Linked DNA regions of Mus musculus. The protein of the gene in region 1 purifies or fractionates together with the protein of each later gene. This does not show direct contact. Links are inferred from orthologs where the notes say so. Each region holds a gene or a part of one and is shown on either strand. Other genes may lie near its edges.

Region 1 (7,267 bases):
GTCAGCAGGAGAAGTGAACCTTGTGTACCAGCCTGGAAACCCTCATACTGCTACTTAGTTTGGACTTAACCTAACTTGGACATGGTCTGAGATTTAGAACCACTTGGTTTTGGGGAAGTATTTGTAGGTGACCTCTGAAGGTTTCTCGACCTACATTTCCTTCTTGGTTGCACACAGCCTAATAGTAAGGTTTTGGTATTTTGCAAAAAGGTTTCTATAGGCAAAGGCTCAATCCTCACTTTGTAACTTTTTTTTTTTTAATGACCGCTTTGACTCTTAAAATGGAACCAAATTTTATTTGGCACATGTGGTGTCCAAATGTGTCTCTGCAACCCATCTGGCCCCTGGTGCTGCTGGCCTGGTACCCCAACTGCTAAAAGTGGGAAGTCTCAGGAGCCAGGCAGGGCCAGCACAGGGTGAGCCAGTCACACGGGGTGGGAGGGCCAGGGCAGGGACAGGGTGGGGGGGTGTTCCATGGATCATGTTGTGTAATGAACCAGTGATGTTCAGTGCTGGGGGCTAACGGGATGAGTGAAGTAGTGGGAAGGGCGTGAGTGTCACGTAGAGCCTGCCTGCCTTCCACAGGCACTGAGGCATAGTGTTGAAACCCAAGGCAAGCTCGTGTGGTGTGGTGTGTCCAACCTTCCTGTCTGCTTCAGCCTCTGGCTGCACTTAAGTGTTCTCATTCACTTTTAAATGAGCCAGTCTTTTTTTTTTTTTCTTTTTTTTAAGGTCACTGGCCTTATTTCCTTGATTGTAAATAGTTATGTGTTTATTTTAAAGGTGGTGGAGGGAGGGCGGGGACATAAATTTGTTGCATGAGTAAATGTGTCAGATCTTCTCTATAAGCATGCATCCTCTGACTGACAGGGCACTGTTGAAAACAAGCACCTTGATAACCCAAACCCTTCAGAAAGCCACAGCGCTTCAGTGCTGTGCTGATGAAGTCACGGCGTAAAATAGCCACAGAGCTTTGGTTCTGTACTGATGAAGCCACAGCGTGAAAGCTTGGCTTTATCTTTGTGTAGGACTTCAGAGCTGAGAGTAGAACATAGCACTGGGGCCACTGTTGGGGAAATGCAAACTAAATAAACATTGGACTCTTCAAGTGCTGCCTCTGTCCGTCACCTGTGTCTTGCCTGTCGAAAGCACATGCAGGTTAGGATTCAGAGGTACTTACGGGGAAATATATGGTGCACCAGAAAAGTGACCTGGTGGCCACAGACAAGTAGACAGGGCGGTTCTTGCTGGGATGAACACTCCAGTCCTCCAGAGAGATGCATGGTCCTCAGGCTGAAGGAGCCTGAGGGCGGGAGGCCATCAGCCTTGGGACCATTGACAAGAATGTATGTGCTAGGTGGAAGACACCTCCTAAAGCAGAAGACTGAACGGGGTTTCTTTCTGTGAGTCAGTGTTAAATCAGTGTTGTGCTAGGCGCTAAGTTTGACCCAAGTTTGTTTTTACAAAACTTGTAAACCAAGGAAGGGGCAGGGCAAGGGGAAAAGCTGTAAGCTAAAGCAGGTGGCAGGAAAAACTGGTCTAGAAGCCAAGAGGAAGTACATTCTAGCCAAGGGAAAAAAAGGTAGCCTCATAGTTAACGTAGAAAATGTGGCAAACAGGAAAATGGATTGAGCACTGAGCTGTTTGGGGTGGTATGGGAGATGGAGGTTTTCCCTCCAGGTTTGTGTATGTGTGTATATCACTGAGTATACATCTATCATACTTGTGAACTGGAGCCACTTGTAAGCTCTCTGATGTGAGTGCTGGGAACCAAACACAAGCCCTTTGGAAGAGCACCACCAAGTGCCCCGTGCTAGCCTCACAGGCTAGGCTTTCTACCACTGAAACCTGCAGGCTTTCCTTACCAAAAGTCTAAAAGGAAATGTATTGAGAACCCAGGACCTGCTACACCTTCAGTGTACGTCCTGAGTGGATGGAGCGAGCACTCATGCAAGAAAGGCACCAAGATCCCACCTCAACCACAGCTGCACCCAAATGACGACAGGTTCTCATCACAGAGTTAAAAAATGTAGTAGTTTATTGAACTCGGACAAATGGCCACAAGGCCCACAGCACCGAGGCTTGCCCGGATAGAGGCTCAAAGCTGCTCTGACCAGTGCCTCTTCATCAAGATGCTTTCTTTTGCTTCTTCTTTTCATTTTCTTCTTTCTCCTTCTCAATTTCAGCAACATACTTCTCAATTTCTTCAGGATTTAGAATCTGCTCCACAAGAAGCATCACGGTTAATCTCTCCACACAGGGCACAAACAGCGCCACAGAGTAGGGAGGCTACTTTTTAACGGCCCTATGGAGTGCTTCTGGGAGCAAGGCATGACCTCGAAGCAGAGGGAGTCAGATGGGAGTGGGAATGTTGTTAAGCAAGGGCCAGGAGCTAATAGGAAACAGCCCTGTGAGAAAGTAAACTTCAGAGGCAAATATCACAGGGCCTGGGGAGGTTTTTCCCCAAGTCATTTCAGTCCTGTAAGCTAAGAAAATGACACCAATAAAGCAAAACTCAATGTCAGTACACACCCATAACTGGGTATGCAAGGTTCAGAGCCCTTCCACCCAAAAGTAGGCTTACCTTGAGCGGCTGATCCCGCCTCATGACGGCAAGTTCGATGTTTTTGCCACCTGACTGGACCACCTTGAAGAAGGCAAAGAGTCAAGGTGTGTCTGGCCTCAAAGATGGAACATCTATTGTCCCAAATGCTGCCTAGTCATGCCTACTCAAGCAAGGTGCCCCTGTAACCTCCAGCCTGCACAGCAATGGCCCCTGGGGCTCAAGGCCTGTATTTCCAGCTCTGTTCACTCTGGCTTAGCCTACATGCACTCCAACTCCACAGTTCAGCATCACAAGCCTCTGGAAGAGACCCCAGTCACCTGAGCCGGGCATTCTACAGCACAGCACTGTTTCTCATGCTAACCCAACTGACCAAGCTGTATAAAGAACCCATCAACCATGCCACTGTCACCCAGCAGGCCTGCCCTGTTAGGGGTGGGGGGTGGGGTCTCCTGAGTACACTCACCTCTAACAGTGCCTTGATCACAAGTTTGATGGTCAGATCATCTGTTTCAATGGCATCATCTGTGTAGTTCTTCTCCAGAAATTCACGCACTGACTTGGCGCCCCGGCCTATGGCATTGGCCTAAAACACATGTGTGTCTTAGTAGAGCCAGTCTAAGTAGCTGGCTAGAGGCTGCCTCCCTCCTTCATGGTCTACAGTTGGCTCTCCAGAAGTGAAGGCACAGACCCAAGTCCTACTTTTTTTTTTTTTTTGAAAAGGCTATTATCACCTGGTGTTGATCCTTGCCAACAATGAAAGTTTTTTTTTTTGTTGTTTTTTTGGAGACAGGGTTTCTCTGTATAGCCCTGGCTGTCCTGGAGCTCACTTTGTAGACCAGGCTGGCCTCAAGAAATCCGCCTGCCTCTGCCTCCCGAGTGCTGGGATTAAAGGCGTGCGCCACCGCACCCGGTGAAAGTTCTTTATTATCAAGAGCCACTTAGGGAGATTTCACTCTAGGTCCTCTCACAATCCCATTCCCCATTGATACAATGCCAAATGGGAATGTAGAATGTTCCGATTTCATACACACGACATGGAACAAACAGGCAGTGCGTGTAGAACTAAGCTCAGAGATTATCTGTTTGCTGTTGCTAGCTCAGTACCTTCCAATAGCCTAAAGTTCCACTGTTTTGAAACGACTTACCTTCCAAGCATGGTATGTGCCCGAGGGGTCAGTCTGATAGAGTCTGGGAGTGCCATCAAAGTCAAAACCCACAATTAGGGCCGAGATACCAAATGGCCTGCGCCCATTGCTCTGTGTATAACGCTGAAAGGAAAAAAAAAGTGAGCACCATCAACCACAAAAGTTCATGCCAGACAAGTGGTTAGTGCCGAGAGAAAAGGAAGCCACCTGCAATTCAGATGGATGGAGAACAGCCTTTAGTGCACCCCTTCCTCTTAGACACACCCAAAGATTTATTTATGTGCGTTGTGTCTTGTGTCAGGAGGAGGGATTAGATCTCTCACAAATGGAGTTAGAGACTGCTTGTAAGCTACTTTGTGAGTGCTGGGAATTGAACCTGGGTCCTCAGAGCAGCTAATGTCCTTAACTGCTGAGATTATTGGAAGTCATCTCAACACAGGCTGACATGTTCCAGCTATAAGCTGTCTCTAAAGTTTGAGTGTCTTACTACAGAGTTGGGGGTGCCTTTCAGCACCCTCTCAACCAGAGTAGCAAGACAAATACTCGTACTCCCCTCCAGAGAACAGAGTCAGGATGAATCCAAGCCAGAAGAGACAACAGACTGGCAAGATGAAGTCACACAGCACCCTGATGGCGGACAGTGCCTAAGCAAGCACCTACCTGCTTCAGACTCGCAATGTAGCGGGTGATGTACTCCACAGTCACTGGGTCCTCCACTGTCAGCCGGTGGCTCTGGCACTCTACCCGGGCTCTGTTGATGACTATCCTTGCATCAGCGGTGAGACCTGAGACAAAGGTTCCTGTCAGGGCAGCTCATGGATACGACTAAGGTCAAGAACGTCAAGCCACATCCCAAAGCACACCAGCTTCTGCAAGCTGTTCCAAGAAGCAAGTACACGAACAACTGTGGATGCAGTCATGCTGGCACTCAGTTTTGTTTAGGGAATTGCGACTTCTTAGGTTGGATCTGTTGAGGATGATACCTGACATCTCTAGTGCAAGTGAGGCTCAGCAAGGAGGCTCCTGTCATCCCTCCAACCACAGGTGCTCCTGGACCGGAGAGTCAGGAACTGTTGCTGATACAGACATGACTAACAGCAGCAGTCAGGTCCAAGAATCCCCAGGAGAGATCCCAAGCTACAACTGCTGTTCTTGCTCTGTAGTCCAGGCTAGCCTGGAACTCAGCGGCTCATATCCACTTCATTTACCCAGTTTATACGTGTCACAACTGCCCATCCCCTCCAACCTGTCACCAATGCTCTGCTTGCCACCCTGGTTCAACTTATACCTGCAAAGGCCATACAGACGTTATCGTCCAAGGCGCAGATTTTTCGTACTGTTCTTTCATCTTGTAGCTTGGCCACTGATTTTTTTTCCACACCAAGAACAACAATGTCCTTTCCTCGAACACCAACCTTAAATGAAAATACATGTCACTTTTAAGAATCGTATGAGGACAGCTATTATTTTCTGACACAGCAGAATGGAGTGGGTTAGGCACATACAGATAGGCTTGGTGCAGGAGCCCTGCAGAAAAGTAAATCCACCCATATCTGGTCTACCGCTTGACAAACTGTACCACAATGAGGATCCAGATCCGCTCCTGAGGACCAGGACAAGTTATCAGGACCTGAATGCCAATTTCATGCCCTCAAAGCACTGAGGCGGTTACAACTGTATCACTGAGACCCTGAGTAGAAGCCTGAGGTGACTAAACCCCAGGCCACAATCCTGCCTGTTCACACTGCATGCACATAGTACTGGCAGGACCCGGTATGCTACAAAGTGAAGCACAATCCACTGTTTAAGACACCCCCACCCCCCTGCCCATGGCTGCGATTGTAGAAGGGAGGACGTGGTCCCTGTATAGACAGGGGAAAATGGGCCAGGGGATGTGGAATGGCATTTGCCCAGCACCAAAATCAAAATCAAACCAAAAAATTTTGTAGGCTATTTGGTCATACTGTTGATGGTGTTGTTTACTAAAAGACAAAACATTTTTTTAGCTGTGGTTCAGCCTCAGCTCACACCTTTAGCCCAAGGACTTTCTGCTTGAATATTGTAAACGAGATTAAATAAAGTCAAGAGGCAGGACATGCAACCAGCTGGCCAGAAGTGAAGATTATTTAAAAACAAAAACAAAAACCATAGAGTAAGAAGAAATCATGAGGATGGATAGAGACAAAGGAAGCAGAAAGGAGGGACATTCAGTTTGAAGGTTTTTTGAGTCAGCATGAGAAGGGGCAGGATTCCTGGTGGGACACTGACTGAGGAAGGTCAGCTGGGCTCTTCTCTGCCTCTAGGAGCCAGTAGGCTTTCACTCCAGTATCTGGTTCCTGAGTCTTCATTGGTAAAATCCAGCGATTGAAATTTTGTTAAAACAACAACAAAACCCCACAATAAACCCAGGAAACCTCACTTAACCCTTCAATCAAGAGAGGAACAGAAACAAATGTAGCAATCCCGGAAAGGGTGGTTGGGTAGAGGGCACCGCCCCTTGCCAGCTCCCTCTGATGTGGAACAGGATTCCCGGGCCCAGACCTCCAGATACCAGGAACCTCCCACAAGGCTCACCAAGGGCCTGGAGTGATTTCACACGTTCCTTCTGTGTTGATTCCTGTGACCTACAGGATCCAAAGCTAGCTGGATGCAGCAGGCAGCTGCCAGTTGGGAGCACTGGAGACAGGCACCCCAGATTCTAGAACATTCCTACTGAATGCGTGGAGCCCAGAGGTCTATACACTGGTGTCTTCCTCAACCCTTCTCCAACGTCAAAAGCAGTTTTACTTTTAAGTATGTTGTGTCTGTGCCTCTGAGTACAGCTGCCCATGGAGGCCAGAGGTGCTGGAGCCCTTGGAGCTTAAGTGTAAGGCAGTTTTGATCCTTAGAATCTGGGTGCTGGAAACTAAATTCAGTACTCTTCAAGAACAGATCTGCACCCTTCAACTGCCAAATCATCTCTCCAGCCCTCCAACTTGTTTTTTGAGATAGGGTCTCACACTGAACCTGAAGCTCACAGATTCTGCTACACTTACTGATCAGCAAGCCCAGTGTATCCTCCTGCCTCTGCCTCCCAGACTGGGATTCCAGGCATGTCACCAGGTGCAGTGCAGGGAGCCACCTCACTGGCCTCACAGGTTTTTCTTTTGTTAGACGGTTTCTCACTAGCTGTATCTCTTGGGTTTGGAGTGATGGCTCAGCGGCTGCTCTTCCACAGGACCCCAGGTTCAATTCCCAGCACCCATATGGCAACTCTAGTTCCAGGGAATCTGACACTCTCACACAGATATATACATATAGACAAACGGCCAAACGCACATAAAAATAACTTTTAAAATAATAAATTAATAATGCACACACACAACCACAAAGAGTCTTTATAGTTTTAGAAGTCTTTAGGGTCTCTAGATTTAGAAGCCCAGGCTGGCTTTGTACTTGTGAGATTTTTCGAGCCTCAACCTTCTAAATGCCAGGATTATACAGGCCTGCACTTCCAAGCCCTGTCATTCCAGAGTTCTTGGGTGGATTGGGTCACCAAAAGCTTTGGGGTTTTAGT
Region 2 (7,633 bases), on another chromosome or scaffold:
CATCTGAGTGGCCTGGGAGATTCCTGGTGGTCCATGCTCTCCAGAGGCTGATGGCAACTGGGAGTGATGGGTAAGAGGTTACAGAAGGGGCACCTGGGTGGGTGCCAGACCCCAACACCAGCCTACCCAGGGTCTGGGAAAGGATGGACTAAGGGGAAAGAGGTGTGAGGGAGGTGCCTATCAGGAATGGGGGTGTGATGAGGTGGTGGTTGGGAGCTGCGGTAGGAACAGGGCCTTCAGAGGCTCTGGGATACTCCTGCTCTAGGCAGTGACACCTTCCAGAAGTCTGGCAGACACTGGGCATGTGGTAAGCAGAGAAAAGGTGGCCATGCAGGTGGATTCCGATGGATGGGAAATCCGTGGGGTGTTGGGAGGCAAGAGACCAAAGGGTGATCCCGAGTCAAGTCTGCAGTCCCTACTCCCATCCCAGGTGACCTGGTTTCAGCCTACAGCCCTCCTCATTTATCCCTGGAGAGGTCCCAAGCTTCCCAAGGGGAACAGGACTCAGTACACAGCAGGCATCGACCTGCACGAGGATCAAGACTTGAGGCCAGCTAGTCCTGACTTAACCTAAGTGGAAAGTGGCCAGCCAAGCTTACTGGTCATCCCTGGACCTAGAGAAAGGTTCTCTACCCGGCCTTTCTGTGGTCTCCTCTCCACTGGTGACCATGAGAATGTCAGAGCAGATTCTCCATTGGAATCAGAAATTCCCACTCAACTGTGATCAGGGGCCACCCCCATCCCTGTGGCCGGAGACCCCAGGTCTCAGGATGCCACTCTTCAGAGGGATGGGCACCAACAGGGCAACTCGGAACAAATGCCAGCCTAATGTCGGAACCCCTCCTCCTCTCTGAGCTCAGGGTCACCCTTTGCCTCTGCCTGCCACCCGCATCCCAGGCTCTCCCACCCAGCTCATCCTTAGGGACCCACCAGCATGGCCACCTTTGCTCTGCTTGCTGCATGTCCAGTGTCTGCATGTCTGTCTCTCACCATATTCTGTAACTTGAGGCTTGGTCCATGCCCCCAGCACGGGAGGGACGGCACCCAATGCTGGCTGAATGCACACCTAGGATCTACCTCACACCCAGCAACCACGTACTGTACTTTTGCCGAACAGGTTTCCCTCCCACCTCAGGTGTCCTGAAGTGAACCTAGAACATATGCCCATGATGTCTCAGGATCACTGAGAAGGCCAGCCAAGTACTTTAGATTTATTTTTAATAAAAAAATCTTCCCACAAGTGCTCCTGCACACCCAGGATTACTTGTCCTCATAACCGGCCGCTCATTTCCACTCAGTGGATGCAGCTGCTGCAGCCCAGCCCCGCTCCAGTGCCCAAGGCAGAACACAGTAGCCACGCAGGGAGAGTCCCTGAGACTTGAGTGCTGTTTCCAGCTTTGAGGACTAAAGGCCCTGGAATGAGCTCTCTCCTGGCGCTGGAAAGATGGGTCTCAAAGGCCCCGCTCACCGAGCGTCCATACGTCTGTGTCTGGCACTGCTAACGGCAGGTCACCACACCTGGCACAGCCGGATCACTTCCTTCAATGCCTTGAGCCTCTCCATGCTCTTGTCTTTCACAGCCATGGCCAGCAGGACGGCTCTGTTTCCTGCTTCTTGCGACACAAATGCTACCAGGTTCTTTGCAAAGACATGGATGAGAGGCTGGGAGGGAGGGAGAGGAAGACAGGGTTGTGACTGCAGGAAACCTCATCTGTTTTTATTTATTTATTTTGGTTTTTTGAGACAGGGTTTCTCTGTGTAGCCCTGGCTGTCCTGGAACTCACTTTGTAGAGCGGGCTGGCCTCGAACTCAGAAATCTACCTGCCTCTGCCTCTCAAGTGCTGGGATTAAAGGCGTGCGCCACCATGCCTGGCTCTGTTTTGTTTTTTTTTTTTTTTTTTAAAGACAGGTTGTCATTTTTTGTAGTATCATGGAACTCATTTAGCCCAGGTTGGCCTTGAACTCATGGCAATCCTCCTACCTCAGCCTCCTGAGAGCTGGGATTTCTGGACATGTGCTATCATATCCAGTTTCATTTCTTTGTCCTTTTTTTTTTTTTTTGAGTGTGAGCATGTGCACGTCTGAGGCGGCCTGGGGACAACCTCAGGAATCATCCTGAACACCAGCCGTCTACTCTGGGACAGCATCTCTTCTTGACCTGTAAGTCACTAATTAGGCCCAACTGCCTGCCTAACCAGCAAGCCCCGGGATCCTCCTGTCCCCGCCCTCGCCGCAGGGTTTCTTCGTTTTCCCTTTGGGGGACAGGGTCTCTCCAAGCAGCCCTTGCTAGAACTTGGTATGTAGATGAAGCTGGCCGCACACTTGCACAGACCGGCCTGAGTCAGCCCCCAGCGCTGGGAGGAAAGGTCTGCACCACGCTGAGCCCCACACCCAGCTTTCTTGTGAGTTCTGAGGACTCTCAGGCTGTGCTTGCAAGCACTGTATGAACTGAGCCACTTCCTCAGTCTCCATTGCTGAGAGCTACTTAGTCATTCATTCATTTGGTTTTGTTGAGACAAGAGCTTACTATGTACAGCTGTATTAATTGCTGTTGAGATGAGAGCTCACTACGTAGCCCTGTCTGATCTGGAACTTGCCATGGAGATTAGGCCTACAATCATCTCCCAAGTGCCAAGATTAAACATGAGCACATGGCTAATTAGGCTCTACTAAAATTATAAATGACTATTATAACATTTTATATAGATATCTTTATGTATCTATATAGAATATAATAAACATATCATATATAATATTATATATATTATATTTATGATATATATACACATATACACACACATATAAAAGAATACAACTTGTAGCAGTCAGCTTTCTCTGTCCACTGTGGGATTGTGAGACTGTACTCAGACTATCAGGCTTGCATACCCTTTAGCCCCTGAGCCAACTCAATGCTCCCTGCCTTTCTAACAGAGGGTGTCATGTAGCCCAAGCAAGCCTTATGGGAATGAAACTGAACCCTGATTCTCCTGATCCCACCTCCCAAGTGCTGGGACTACAGCAGCCAGCATGTCACCATAACCAGTAGTTTGCTTTATTTCTTCTCCTTCTTTTTTGCTTATGCAGGGAGAATAAGGTCTATCCCTTAGCTGGCCTCAGCTCAGTCTGATCACAAACTTGTAGCAATTTTTCTGCCGCAGCCTCCCCCTGAAAGGATTACAGGTGTGTATAGTCACACTGGGGACAAACACTGTCTGCTCCTAATGCTTTCCTTAAGAGACCTAGGCCAGCGTCTCACGCTTTCCCCAAACCCCCTAAGCTAGGACAACAGTGATTCAGAGCACCACGTGGACTGCATAAAGCAGACAGAGGGAACTGCCCAGGAGGCAGTATTAAGACTTTTCCTTGGTACCTCTGCCTACCGTCTCTCTGGTTACTCCTAATCAAGACAGACAGGCCTGCAAAGGGAACTGTTGTCAAGACTCAAGAAGCAGACATAAACATAGAGCCATCAGGACAGGGTCAAACTGAGGAAATGGCTATGTCATAAAAATCAATCCCTCCCCGAGTGTTGAGTAAAATGCTAACACGCTGGGAAAAGCATCACTCGAGCCAGCCAGGACACCCTCAGTCCAGAATGGCCCTGGAAAATGCTCACTGCGCATAGTTTGGGTACGTATGGAGTTGTGCCTATCAGGCACCCCATATCCCTATGGACAAATGACAGCAGAAAAAAAGATGCTCTCAACTCCCATTACCTCGTCCTGCCCGAGGAGGACTCTCGTGGTGAGCACTGGCTTGCTGATGTCATTGGCCACATTGCTGGGCTCCAAGGACACTAGCGTACCCATCTTCCCGAACTGGGTCACCACAACTAGGATGTGGCTGCTGAAGGCCGTGCAGACCACCTGGGTGGGCACACCGCACACCACTTCTGTCTTCTGTTTAGATACTACCAGTGGTTTGTCTTCCATGGTCCCGTTCTTCAGCGGAGGCTTTAGTTTTAAAAGAAAAGAAAACAAGGGATGGAGCAATCAGAATCGGACACAACCTGGAGCTCGACAGCAGAAATGACAAGCGGCCCATTCCAAGCTGCACGTGGTGGCACATGTCTGCCATCCCAGGACAGGGGACGCTGAGGCTGGAGAAGTCCCAGTTCGAGGCCAGCCTGAGCTACATGGGGGAGACCCTGTTATCAATACCACGCCCCAACCCAAAAGCGAGTGCGCGCATGCTCGTGCGGGCTTTTGTGAGCGTCTTTGTCCCGCCGCACTGCTTGCGATGACCGCCATCCCCGCGACTAGCTGTCCCACTTCCAGATTATCAGGGATGAGGAAAACGGCCGAGCTCACCGGGGAGCCCCGACGGCGCAGGACTGGGGATGGCTGGATCACTACTGACAGCAGTTGGGACCGAAACCCTCGGCAACCAGCGCTCACCCCACCAGCAGCGCCAGAAAGCGGTTTCAGGGAGCAACTAAGCCAGCAATGGTTTAGCAGAAGTCCCGGCGAGAACTTCCGGTTCCTGTCCGTTGGGCCTAAGGTCCGTAGGCCACGGCAGTCCCAGGGCCTAAGGTTCCGTGCTGCAAAGGAGCCGTCCAGGCTTCGTGTTAAAGGGACAGTGTGCCTCTCCGAGCTCCAGGATCTCGGTGGCGGTGCTTGACCACCTGTGTAGGGAGCTTTGTGTCCTAGCTGTGGACACAAAATAATATTTGTTTTAATATTATTAATATTTTAATATTTGTTTTCACTTGGTGTGTACCTGGCTTTGGCTAAGGCACACTTAATATACAGTAACTTGTTTCGTCTGTTTGTCTGTCAGTTTTGCCTCTTTTAGTCACGGTATCTCCGTGTAGCCCTAGTTGTCCTGGAACTCACTATGTCGACCAGGCTGGCCTCAAACTCACATATCCTCCCGAGTTCTAGGATTATTTCCTCCTCCTCCTCCTCCTCCTCCTCCTCCTCCTCCTCCTCCTCCTCCTCCTCCTCCTCCTCCTCCTCCTTCTTTTCCTCTTCTCCTCCTCCCCCTCCTCTTCTGTTTTTTGAGACAGGGTCACAAGTACCCTAGGTTGATCAAGGAAAATATTGAACTCCTGATTCTCCTTCCAAGTGCAGGGATGACAGGAACACACCCCACACATGGTTTGCTGGTGTGGGGATAACATCCAGGAGTTTATGTATGCTACGCAAGCATTCACAAACTGAGCCAAATCCCAACCATCATTTTTTTCTCCTTCCCTCTTTCTTTCATTTTTTTCCTTTTTTCTTGTGGGTATCGAGGAGCAAGTCTCATTTACACTAATTATTGTTCATCTTGCAGAATACTTAAAAGAATTAAACAGTATTTGTTTGTTTGTTTATTTATTTGCATGAGTATTTTTGCCTTCCTGTATATGGTGTCATGTGCATGCAGTACCCACAGAGGCCAGAAGAGGGTGTTGTGTTTCCTAGATTTGGAGTTACAGACAGTTATGTGCTGCCATGTAGGTGATGGGAACTGAACCTGGTCCTCAGCAAGAGCAACAAGTGGTGCTCTTAATGGTGACCTGTTAAATCAAAGCACTTTTTTCTTAAAATTATAGACTGTAAATTGAGCATATCCCCCTTCCCTCTATCTTCCCTTTTCTCCCCTCCTTCCTGTTTGTTTTCTTAAATGTACACCACACACACACACACACACACACACACACACACACACACACACACGGTTCAGTGTGACTATGTAAAATCTAGGCCCCACCAGTCAGAGAAAACATATGGTGTCTGTCTTTCTGAGACTGGCATAATTTGCTTAACACGATTATCTTCGGTTTCATCTACTTTCAAGAATAACATAAACTCACTCTTTTGTGTGTGGGTTCCTGTGTGTGTGTGTGTGTGTGTGTGTGTGTGTATACATATGTATGAAGGTCAGAGGTCAGTTTCCTCAGGCCCCTTCTACCCTTCTTCTTTCTTTTGTTCTTTTCTCTCCTTCTCCCCACTCTCTCTTATTTCCTTTCTTTAGGCAGAATCACACTGTGTAGCCTCGGTTGGTCTGGAACTCATTACGTAGACCAGGCTGGTCTCAAACTCAGAGATTCACTTGCCTCTGCTTGGGCGAAAGGTGTGGCTGCCACCATGCCCGTTATACCTTGTTTCTTGAGCCAGGGCCTAGAGCTTACTAATTAGGATAGGCTGGCTGTCGGCAAGGCTGGGGATCAGGTCTAGGTTTGTTCCCTTTCCCTAGTGCTGGGATTGTAGGCTGTACCAGACCTCCTGGATTTTCAATATGGCCTCTATTTTGTTTGTTTTGGGTTTTTGGTTCTCTCTCTCTCTCTCTCTCTCTCTCTCTCTCTCTCTCTCTCTCTGTGTGTGTGTGTGTGTGTGTGTGTGTGTGTGTGCTTGCAAGGCCAGATCTTAACTGACTGAGCCATCTCCCCAGACCCATCTCATTCTTCTTCATGGCTGAATCCCCACTGTGTATACACTACATATTTTCCTTACCCATTCCTTTGTAGTATGCCTAGATCATTTAATCTCTGCAGCTCCCTAAGACAGAAACACCGTGAGTGCCCTTTGAAAATAAAATGCTTTGACCCCACCCTCACCTTCCTGGACATTCAACTTGATGCCTGGCCCGGCTCCCTGACTCTTGTTGAGACCCAAAGGATGCTGGAACCTGGGTCACTGACCCTTATCAGGTCCCAGCTAATGCCTGGAACCCCTGATCCTCACTGAGGCTCAGGGGAAAGTAGGAGGAAGCCCTGTCCTGCAGGGTGAGTCTTGCACCCAAACTAGAAAACCCCACCATGTCTCCCTGAGAGAAGTTTCACTGACTGGGAAAGACTTGGGAAGATACTGGGAGAAACTGCAGCCTGGAGCCCCTTCCCCAGAGGTTGATAGTCCTGGAAACTCCATCCCAGAAGCCTTTCTGTGCCTGCTGCTGACGGTTCTGAAAAAAGCCACACTTCTGCTTACACACTAAAGTCCTTAGACAGCTCAAGCATTTTTCCTCAATAAATGTATCCTCTCTTTCCTTGAGTTAATGACTCCTTATCCAAGCTCCATTGAGTCGTGTGAAGCTCGCTTCTTCCAAAATGATTTCTTGGTGGTGTAAAAGAAAAGACATGCATACAAAGCATGATGGGAGTAGACAGAGATCGGGAGGAAACGAGTTTCCGAGCGTTCTCACAGTTGGCACGTGAAGAGGGAAGATTAGGGTTTCGTGCCACTAATACTCAAGAAGCAAGGAGCGTATAGATTTCTCAGCAAAGTCTTTTTGTCGGTTCTAAATTTAAACACCCGTCCGCCCACACACAGCAAAAGCAAATTGCTGGCGTGTTGCTTTGCCTGGAGAAATCTTGAAAAGCTTTTGATGCACCTTGGTATGCCTTCTCTCTCTGTGGCAGAGGTCCAGGAACTCTGCCTCCCCAGCACACGGAAGCCCTGGACACATGCTGATCACCTCTGCAGAAGGGAGGCTGGAGAAGAAAGTGGACAGCGTTCTGGTCACATTATAAAGTAGCTCTGAGGGGTCTCCGCTTTGGACTGGTTTGGATCTTGAGCTATTGATGATAAAGAAGAAGTCTGAAGGAAAACGGAGTTTTTTTTTTTTTTTTTGTTTTTTTGTTTTGTTTTGTTTTGTTTTTAAAGGGTGTGTTGGGCTGAGCTGCCTTGTTTCAGGAAAAGGACTTCCC

The links. The genes of interacting proteins can lie anywhere in the genome.
Region 2: the proteins of Psma7 (region 1) and Psmg3 purify together in Homo sapiens (affinity purification with mass spectrometry; 3 studies listed by BioGRID and IntAct, with this or other methods). This does not show direct contact. The link is inferred for Mus musculus from reciprocal best matches to the Homo sapiens genes PSMA7 and PSMG3.

What each region holds. Positions count from the first base shown.
Region 1 is NC_000068.7:180,034,354-180,041,620, forward strand, and holds the end of Psma7 (proteasome subunit alpha type-7), read right to left. Parts: intron 5,127-7,267; coding exon 5,000-5,126; intron 4,497-4,999; coding exon 4,372-4,496; intron 3,835-4,371; coding exon 3,712-3,834; intron 3,150-3,711; coding exon 3,030-3,149; intron 2,648-3,029; coding exon 2,585-2,647; intron 2,221-2,584; coding exon 2,128-2,220; 3' UTR 2,014-2,127; downstream 1-2,013.
Region 2 is NC_000071.6:139,822,412-139,830,044, forward strand, and holds Psmg3 (proteasome assembly chaperone 3), read right to left. Parts: upstream 4,484-7,633; 5' UTR 4,311-4,483; intron 3,954-4,310; 5' UTR 3,933-3,953; coding exon 3,717-3,932; intron 1,663-3,716; coding exon 1,510-1,662; 3' UTR 1,202-1,509; downstream 1-1,201. UniProt on the Homo sapiens protein: Chaperone protein which promotes assembly of the 20S proteasome. May cooperate with PSMG1-PSMG2 heterodimers to orchestrate the correct assembly of proteasomes.